Xenopus tropicalis: one gene and its partners. The protein of the gene in region 1 purifies or fractionates together with the protein of each later gene. This does not show direct contact. Links are inferred from orthologs where the notes say so. Each region holds a gene or a part of one and is shown in the gene's direction. Other genes may lie near its edges. The genes, in order: cyld, spata2 and spata2l.

What was found.
Region 2: the proteins of cyld (region 1) and spata2 purify together in Homo sapiens (affinity purification with western blotting; 10 studies listed by BioGRID and IntAct, with this or other methods). This does not show direct contact. The link is inferred for Xenopus tropicalis from reciprocal best matches to the Homo sapiens genes CYLD and SPATA2.
Region 3: the proteins of cyld (region 1) and spata2l purify together in Homo sapiens (affinity purification with mass spectrometry; 3 studies listed by BioGRID and IntAct, with this or other methods). This does not show direct contact. The link is inferred for Xenopus tropicalis from reciprocal best matches to the Homo sapiens genes CYLD and SPATA2L.

Annotation. Positions count from the first base shown.
Region 1 is NC_030680.2:51,226,950-51,230,606, reverse strand, and holds part of cyld (ubiquitin carboxyl-terminal hydrolase CYLD), read left to right. Parts: intron 1-827; coding exon 828-1,130; intron 1,131-3,234; coding exon 3,235-3,340; intron 3,341-3,657. UniProt on the Homo sapiens protein: Deubiquitinase that specifically cleaves 'Lys-63'- and linear 'Met-1'-linked polyubiquitin chains and is involved in NF-kappa-B activation and TNF-alpha-induced necroptosis.
Region 2 is NC_030686.2:36,155,038-36,159,057, reverse strand, and holds the end of spata2 (spermatogenesis-associated protein 2), read left to right. Parts: coding exon 1-404; 3' UTR 405-3,369; downstream 3,370-4,020.
Region 3 is NC_030680.2:59,167,417-59,170,067, reverse strand, and holds part of spata2l (spermatogenesis-associated protein 2-like protein), read left to right. Parts: intron 1-1,378; 5' UTR 1,379-1,379; coding exon 1,380-1,673; intron 1,674-2,651.

The DNA of each region.
Region 1 (3,657 bases):
ACATAATTATTATGTATTATGTCATAATAAGTTTTTCAGAATGGTTAGGAAGATTTATTTTCTAAAAGTAAATAACATTTTCTAAAATAAAGCCTAAGGAAACAGAGGCATTAAAATTGCCTTGGAGAGACAGATCTGGCCCATTAGTCTCTAGACCTACACTAGACCTATCCTGTGTGCTTTCATTTAAAAAATAATTTATTCAGACATGTTTATACACTTTGTCCCAATTGTTTCAGTGTAATTTCATTCGTTCAGGTTATTTTTGCCAGGGTTTGGTAAGCAGTTGTGGTTTCTTCTGTCCCAGTTGTTTGTGCCCTACAAGTTTCTTGCTTCTAATTTAAAGTCCCCATGCAGTGTCTGCTAAGTATACTGAAATATTACCAGATCATTGGAAACTTAAAGGAAATGTAACACTAAATTTTTTTAAGTAAAAAAGCTATTCTACCCTGCACCAATAACTATCCTGCAAACCACTTAGTATTTTAAATGTTTTAATAGAAAATACCTGCTAAAACTTGGCTTCCTGTCAATTGCACTACGGCGATAAAGGAAGGAGCCACATCCACTATGCGACGATCGATTGATCAAGCCTAGCTTGACTCCTTCCTATACAGAAAGAAGGCTAGGCTCGATTAATCGATCGTCGCATAGTGATTGCTGCTCCTTCCTTCGCCATATCGCCGTATTTCAATCGACAGGAAGCTAAAAATTTTAGTGTTACTTTTCCTTTAACTTGGATACCAACTTTATATTTCTGCATGTAAAATAAATGTTAAACGTCAAATTTTGGGAAAATTACAGATTTATTATTATTTTTTTTTTAGGAAGATGGACGGGGCCAAGGTTTTACAGAGGGCTCCTACCAGGGCAAGCAACATTTCAGATGCGATGAAGAATGTGGAGTGTTTGTAGCTGTAGACAAGTTAGAGCTATGTGAGGATGACGATGAGGACATTGAGAGTGATTATGCATCTCCTGCAGACAACAGTCAGTCAGAGATCCCTCCCCTAGAGATCAATTCCAGAGTGTCTTTAAAGATTGGGGAGGGTATGGAGTTTGGAACTGTTATATTTTGTGATGTTCTGCCTGGAAAAGAAAGTCTTGGATACTTTGTTGGAGTTGACATGGTAAGACATGCATTACTTTTTATACAGGGGAAAAATGTATACTGGCATTTTCAGTACAGACTGTATAAGCATAATGCATGATTTGAAAATATGATCATTTTTTATAAGATTTGGGTCCCTAAAAAGATATTACTGTGGGATTCTCTAAATGGTTTTCATGCTACAATTTGAAAGGCTTTTTTGGCACTGCAGAGTGTAATTTAAAGGGCCAGTTACACCTTTTCAAACATTCCTGCCTATGAAGTTTAGGGCAGTGCTTCAGAGAATAGATGTGGGCATTATGTTTTCTACTAAAAACACAGAACAGAAATGGTTGTTACTTAAAATGGTATTAAATCATTACTATTCTCAATTTAATCCCTTAAGAAGTAAATATAGAAGCTTTAAGAACCACCCTATGAGGCTTAATTCAGAGGTAAAGAAGTTAGTAGGGAAAAAAAGGAAGTTGTTTAACAAATACAAGAGTCAGAGTCAGAGAGGACAGAAGCTGCATTTAATTAATATAAACACTATAACAAGTGTTGTAAAACAGCACTCCGGAAGTCAAAGATAGAAAATGAGAAGTGCATTGTGGCAGAGGCCAAAACTAACCCTAAAAAGTTTTTTAAGTATAAAGATGCCGGTTGAGAATGTGGCCCCATTGAATTATGTTAACAAATAGTTACAATGGATACAGAAAAAACAGTTCTTTTTTTATTGTATACAGTAGAGGAGCCAGAGTGCCTAGACCCACCCAATAGCTGCATTGTTGGCTTAGCTCAAACTAGTCAGTGCTTGATGCAGGAGATGGTGCATAAAGGTTTACTCAAAATGAATGTGAACAAGGCACCAGGGCCAGATGGAATACATCCTTTGGTACTGAGAGAGCTAGGATCAGTTTTACAGTGGCCTTTGTTTCTGAAATTGTCAGACTCACTTTTTTTTCTGGCATAGTACCTATGGATTGGAGGAAAGCTGATGTCATATATTTAAAAAGGGATTATATTCTCAGCCCGGCAATTATAGGCCAGTAAATTTGACATCCGTGATGGGCAAGTTGTTTGAAGGTTTGTTAAGGGATCACATACAAATTGTGTTCTGGAGAATTTGAGCAGTAATCAGCATGGCTTTATGAAGGACAGGTCATGTCAGACCAATTTGATTGCTTTCTATGATTAAGTTAGTAAGAAGCTGGACAGTGGGGATGCAGTAGATGTGATCTATTTGGATTTTGCTAAAGCATTTGATACTGTGCCCCTCAAACGTCTGCTTTTTAAACTACGGTCTGTTGGTCTTATGAAGTCGTTTGCACATGGATAGAAAACTGGCTACAGGATCGGGTACAGAGGGTGGTTGTTAATGTTACATTCTCTACTTGGAGTAAGGCTCTCAGAGGGGTTCCTCAGGGTTCTGTACTTGGGCCACTTTTGTTTAACTTGTTCATTAATGATTACAGGTATTATAAGTAATGTATCAGTGTTTGTAGATGACACAAAACCTCTGCAGCCCAGTCAATTCTATCCAGGATGTGGCATGCTTGCAGCAGGATCTTGACAAACTGGCAATCTAGGTAGCTAAGTGGCAGATGAGATTTAATGTGGATAAATGTAAGGTCATGCACCTGGGATGTAAAAATATGCAAGCCACTTATACCCTTAATGGAACCACACGTGGCAAATCCATAATGGAGAAGGACCTTGGAGTAGATAATAAACTTGGCTGTAGCAAGAAAGCAGTCAGCAGCTTCAAGGGCAAACAAAGTTCTTAACTGTATTAAAAGGATTTGCAGGAGGAGGGGGTTATTCTTCCACTTTAACAGAGCGCTGGTAAGGCCCCATCTAGTATATGCTATCACTTTTGGATCTGCTAATGCCTTACAGATAAGGATCAGATCATGATATCTGTCTTGATAGACTAGTTATATTATGGGACTACAGGATGTTTGTTCAACATATGCTTGGGTGCTTAGGTGCTTAAATAACACCAAAATGCCTAACCATATGGTTGGTATTGGCAGCTTTAGTTACCTGGTATCTGTCAAGAAAGCAATGTGCAGCTAGTATTGTACGTAACAATTTGCTGCTCTTCTAATATGTGTTTTGTACTGCAATCTGTATATTTTTAGGACAACCCTATAGGAAACTGGGATGGAAGATACAATGGAATTCAACTCTGTAGCTTTGCAAGTGTTGAGAGCACCCTTCTTCTCCATATTAATGATATAATTCCAGGTGCGAATGCTCTGCATATGTCAACTCTATGCTTTTCCTTTTAACATTGTTTTGAGGGGTATAAGGGTTTATTCTCTTATTGTAAGTTGTGGCTGCACAAAGTTTGCTGCCATTGTTGCTTAAAAATTACATTGAATAAAGGTATTTACATTCAAAGTCACTTCTTGCACTTACATATAGTGCTCGGCTATAGTAGCATTATATTGTCCATTGATGCAGGGGGACCCTGGACCAAAGTTCCCATAGCCACTTGCATCAATAAACATAGTCAAAAGAATAAGGCTCGTGTCATTTTGAGGGTGAGCACTGAAAATAAT
Region 2 (4,020 bases), on another chromosome or scaffold:
CGTGTGGTGGCCCTGTGTGCCAAAAGTGTGATAATGTGCTCATCTTTAGACCGGATGTCCCATCACACAAGCAAAGTAGCCTGTCCATTAAAACCACGGGTCAAAATGACAGTTACTCTTCCGGGCCCGTCCTGCGCGAGAAGTCTTCATACGGCTTATCATCCCAAGAGAGGGCTTCTCAGCAAAATCCAAAAATGAAGCCTTCGTCCACTCTGCGCTGTGGGTTTTGCAACAGGCAGGGGGCCTCCAACACTTGCACAGTCTGCTCCAAAGTCTCGTGCAACAATTGCATCACTGCTTACTGTCGGGAATATTGCTGCCGGAAAAGCGATTTTCACAAGTTTGCACCCAACAATCAGCTGAACTATAAGTCATCCCAACTGCCCCATCTTGTTTTAAGATAGACTTTGCAACCTTTTGCTGAATAAGGGCTAACTGGACTTGCCAAGCCTCTGGAACAGGAATACACTGGACTTGTCTGTTCAGGGAGGAGAAATCAGTGTTTTGTTTTTTTGTGTTTTTAGTTTTGGTGATGTCGGAAATACTGTGGATAATTCTGGTTCTCGCTGCTACAATTTGGTGCAATAAAATCCTTTGTGGTTTTGCTGTAAATCTTAAGTGCATTTCCAGAAGGAACCAAATTAATGAGAGCATTTTCCTGAAAAAAAAAATCTAAAATGAAAAAAAAAAAAGTATGGTTACGCTTGGTATTGTTCATGTACTTTTTTTTTTTTGTCTCACCTTCAGCCGTTTGCTGTAGGCCTCTACTCTTGTTAAGCACTTGGAGATTTGCCATTAAGATGCCAACGTTTTGTCACACTTGCCTATTTAAACCCATCTACCCTAAGATTTCCACAAATATTTAGGCAGAAAATCAAGATTCATTCCTTAATGACCATAATCAGGTTTTCTTAGTTAACTGGTATCTGGTTTTGCATGCAAAAAATAACCTGCAAGTCGGGTAATTAGGTGGTGGTTATTCAGGCCATTAATTTGGAAGTTGTAGCCTGTTCCTGTATTTAGTGTTTCCTATGTATATAGGGCTTAAAGCTCTTTGATTGGTCTATAAATCAGCGCTGTATTTTTGGCCCACAGCCCTACCAGAATTGTTAGTGGCAAGAATATCTGGATATTTTCAGGCTGCTGACTGAATTGTTTGGATCATTTCTTTGTTTTTTTTCATGAAGTTATGATCTGTGTGTGATGAGTGGGAATTTGCTGAGTGCGCCTGATGTTTGAGCCCAGCTAGGTGCCATAAGCACGGCTCAGCACCCTATGCCATGTAGGTGAGCACAGCTCTGCAGGGTGGCATGATAATTGTACTGTGCATGGTATAGCTTATGTGTGACTGTTCTGGGTCTTTTAAGGGGCAGTATATATATCTGTATGCCAGTATAGCGTGTTCATAAAAAATGTTCTAATTTTAAATTAGCCTCATTTGTTCTCGTTTATCCTGTTGCACTTTCATACCCATATAAGGGAAATATGAATATATGAACATATGAAGTCATCCTGAAGCCGATGGTTCTTTATTACACAATCTTATTTATTGCCCATCAGTCTTTGCAATGAGCGGAAGCCTCAGTGACTGAGGGCATAGTCTGGCATCATTTTGGGCACAGCCTGCTATCATTGATGATGTGGTCAGCCAAAACCTTTCATTTTAAAGAGGCAGTAAACCACCTTTTCTAAAATGACCTATAGTAGGGAGGGCCAAAGTCATGCAGAGCCTCACATGTTATCATGGGAGTACGCAGTAGGGGATGATGGGGGGCATAAATGTTAGCCAGTGGTTGCTGGGAATCAATACAGCAGTTCTGCAGGTTATACACAGTACTGACAATATAAGCCATAACTGTCCTGTCACGTTTTATGACAGATATCAAATACACTCTGGCAGGCTTTACTTTATAGCCTGGAACCATTTCACTATACAATATGTAAGCGCTTATTGACACATTCTTTCTGTGCCCATACACAGGCAGATATTGGGTCTTTCCTGGCTAATTATGCAGCCCATTGGCCTGTGTATGGGACCACTTCATCTTTTGATATCTGATGAGGCTCCAGGAATTGATGGGGCCAGATGAAATGGCTTATTGGCCAAGGATGGCATCAGTTCTTATATGCAGTCATTTCACTGTCTCGCTTATATATCAATGGCCGCCGAATGATAAGGCTTGTTCCCTAAATCTGTATATGTGTTTTGTGCCTGAATATATTCCTCCTGCCCGCTGTGTGGCACAAAATGGGCAAATCCATGACTTTGGGGGTATTGCATACAAAGTCAGCTTTGCTGGGTTCTTTTCTACTGACCCAAAGCAGGAAAAGGCACCAATAGTCGCTATTGGCCACATCCCATTCAAGTCAATGGAAAGCATTGTGACCGTTTTGGGTGCGTTTTCAACCGTGTGAAAGTCACGCGTCTGGGCCATGAGCCTTATAAGTTTATACCGGTGTTTCTGGGTTTTTATTTTAATTATGAGACCCTGGAGTTTCACTTTGCAGACGACCCTCATTTTTGGAGACTGAAATCCCTAAACCTTAAGTCATTTTGTGTCTTGAATGCCCCGACCCAAGCGCTCAGCTGCTCCGCCACAGTCTGCACCTCTTCCTTTGTGCATAGTACCCCGCAATGTGAATCTCAGAGAAGCAATATATGTATCACCGTGTGAGAGGGTGGGACTGTTCTAATTACTGCAGTTTGAAATGACTATAATGTGGCTCGTGCCCGGGCAGCTAACTGGGGGTTGTGTAAGTGCCATTTTCCTGGTATTCAAGCTTTCACCATGATGTTACACTATCGCATATTAATGTTATGACGTTGCGAAGCTTGAGCGCAAATGATGGACCCTTACGGAGCACATAATCCTTAATGCACACTTTCGATATTGGCTCTTTCTCACGTTGCATTGGCAGCTCTGGAGAGGCATTTTGCTGTTTCTTTAATAAATGTAGATAATATGTATATAAATAGTGGAGAAGGAAAACAAATATATAAATGTACAGTGATCATTTTGGTGTTCTTTTAATCATTTTTTTTTTTTTCTGATGTATTGCCTGTATGCTGGTCCACTATTTACATTCTGGTTTTGCGAGTCCTATATCCATCTATAGGTAATTAACAGCACTACAGTAATCCGAAATACTCCGTAATGCCACGTAACCTGTACAGTAACCTTGGAGGGACCCTGTTTTGCTTGAGATAGGGAGTCCCTTGTACATAGCCATCTATAATAGTAGTACAAACTGTGTTGACTTCTGAGTGACAATAACATGCTATTTTTTTTGTGTATATTTTGATGTATGAGGTTGCTGTGTCAACAGATCAAACAACAAAGTCTAAAATATAAACTTATTTCAAGCCTGTGTGTTCTGCCTTTGCTTCTCATTTGCTTTAAATGACCCCTAAACTGTGCCATGTTCTTACATGGGGGGTGGGCTGGAGTTGGGTATTTCCTGCTACTTCATTTTTACTACAGGGATTCTACATATACACCCTTAACGTCTCATTTATAGGATGAGAATATCCAGTTACAGCTCTAACCCAACATGGCCGCAAGGTGCCACATATAAAGTGCTGCCTAGTGATGGGGCAAATGGCTAACAACTGGGCAACCCTGGAAACTAGTGGTTTTCCTATTTGGTCACTAGAGGGCGATCACAGCCAAGTGTTTGTATCAGGACTGAATTCAAGTTGCATCATGTGATCTTTACATGAACCTTTATAAGGCCTGCACTTTTATGTTCGCCCCAATAACTCTTTGGCTCATAGGCCACAGGTCATGATTTGTCAGATACCATTAAAGTGCAACTTAGCCGGGCCGTCCTTTAGTGATAAGTGACACATTAACCATACATTATACAGTAAATTGGCACCTGTCATAATTCAAGTTTTAAATTGCTCTAATATGGGGAAGCAATATAGCTTTGGATACCCTTTAAAGTACTGGGACAAGGAAATCTTTTAATGGAACGGCATTGATCTGATCGGTTAGATGAAACACGCCTTTGTCAGCT
Region 3 (2,651 bases), about 7.9 Mb from region 1:
GCACTGCTGCTGGGCACCAATGTACTAGGGGGGCACTGCTGCTTGGCACCAATGTACTAGGGGGGCACTGCTGCTGGGCACCAACATATTAGGGGGGCTGCGGGGCACACTGACTTATGGGGGCACTGCTGCTGGGCACCAGTGTACTAGGGGGGCACTGCTGCTGGGCAGCAATGTATTAGGGGGGCACTGCTGCTGGGCACCAACGTATTAGGGGGGCTGCGGGGCACACTGACTTATGGGGGCACTGCTGCTGGGCACCAATGTACTAGGGGGGCACTGCTGGTGGGCACCAATGTACTAGGGGGGCGCTGCTCTTGGCACCAATGTACGAGGGAGGCACTGCTGCTGGGCACCAATGTACTAGGGGGGCACTGCTGCTGGGCATCAATGTACTAGGGGGGTACTGCCCTTGGCACCAATGTACTAGGGGGGCACTGCTGCTGGGCACCAATGTATTAGGGGGGCCCTGGCTACCAATGTTTTAGGGGCACTGGCTACCAATGTTTGTGTGTCCTTTGTACTGATGGGAGGGGTCACTGGGGGAGGGGCCATTAGGGGGCAGGGCGTGGGAGGAAGAGGAGGGCCCTGAAAATTTTGTTGTGAGGGGCCCTGTGATTTCTGAAGGGGGCCCTGTCTGTTTGTATGAAGTGGCGTAACTACATGTTACTGGGTCCAACAGCAAATACAATTGGCAAGTTGACCTTTTCTACCAAGATATATTGGAATTTCGTACCAATTAGAGGCTTATTTGGGCCCCTTACACTCTGTGGCAGGGTCAGACTGGGCGAACTGGGCACTGGGAAAAAACCTCGGGTGGTGGGGCCCCTTATGGTGTGTGAAGGCCTAGCCCAAGTGGGCCTTGCACCTGCCAGTCCGACCCTGCTCCTGGGCCCCCTGCAATCAGGGTCAGCTTCCTCTGTAGTTACACCCCTGTTGGTGTGTTTAAACCATATTTAAACCAGTGTCAATCAGTTTCAAGCCAGTTACAAACAAGTCCCTTACCTCAGTTAGAGCAATTGAGGTCTTCTAAAAGCACTGCAGTTAAAACAATGAATGTAGCAAGTTGAGCAATAAAAACAAACATCTGATTGGTTGCCATGGGTTACTGCCCAGTGTTTATAAAGAGCTGTCTTTCAAAAAAAAATAGACTCTGTCACAAAGCTGCATGTAGGTATAGATTGCTGAGAGGAGGATAGTAAAGTGTTATTTATTTTAGAAACTGTATAGAATTTTAAATTCATAATATTAATAAAGTTTCTTATTTCTGTGAGTTGAAGCACATATAACATTTCCACGTTTCTGCTAAGGGAAAACAAAGTCACAATAGAAAAAATATTATATTGGTTTAACATTTGCTATACTACTCCATTTTCAGGATGGATGAGGACAGTCTCCTAACACAGTACCAGAACTGGCTGCTTGCTTCCTGTGAAGGTGGAGTAACTACACTATGCAGTATTACAGGCCTACTCAGGGATCGTTTGCTGGAGGAGCCAGAGTTACACGGTGCTCTTCGAAGTGATGCCTTTTCTTTGATTGCTTGCAACATACGACAGAAAAAGGGGTTGCGTTCAGCTTTACAGGATCTTGCCAATGCCTTCAGTTTACTTGAACAGGCCTGTCTGCATCTTTATTTTACACCATGGAGGAGAGAGTTTCATACCATAAAAGTGAGACTCTTTCATTTCTATTTTGTGCTAGAACCTCATTTTTGTGATTTTTGCATGCCATATGGTTGCCATGGCCACCTGCCACCAACATCTATATCACAATGCACTTGATATGAATGTGGCAGAACTGTCGGTTTCACTGTTATAGAAGTGCAACTGGCAACCTGTGGGTTCTAGCAAATGCCAGAGGGGCTGCTGTAAGATGCCATAGACAGTCACTATTTAATGAGCTGGTGGGGGGGGGGGGGGTGGAGCTGTTTGGGCCTCTGTGTACTTGGAATGCCAGGGCCTGTTTTGACTCCTTCACTATTTAAAGGAAAAAGAAAGTCAAAGTCACTTGGCGGTGCCAAAATGTTAGGCACCCCCAAGTGACTTTGACCACCTACCTTTTACCCCGGGCTGGTGCCCCTGTGAAGAGGGAACAGCACCAGCCCGGGGTAGCTGCCGGCGCTTGCTTCTTCCTGATTCGCTGCGCGCGCATGCGCAGTAGAGTGAAAAGCCGAACTTAAACAGTCGGCTTTTCACTCTACTGCGCATGCGCCCACCGCTGGCATTCCAGCAACGGAAGAAGGAAGCGATCCGCTCCAGGTGCCCCGGGCTGGTGCTGTTTTCTCCTAACAGGGGCACCAGCCTGGGGTACGAGGTAAGCGGTTAAAGTCACTTGGGGGTGCCTAACATTTTGGCACCCCCAAGTGATTTTGCCTTTCGTTTCCCTTTAAAGCAATACTAACATGTGCCTTTAAAAATTCCGTAGGAATGTGTCCGTATTACTGTGGAGTTTAGGTCTCAACTTCTTTCTATTTATAAATTCCCCCATGCTGCCCCTAGCCCAAGGGTACCTGTAGTTCTGTAATGGGAATGAGAGTGGCAGAGACTGCTCTGTTTTCTTCAGTCAGCCCTAAACTGTTGAAAGCAGCATTTGCTGAACTCTGGTTGTTACTTTTTAAACAATATTGGAAAGGTTAGTCTCTTCCAGCA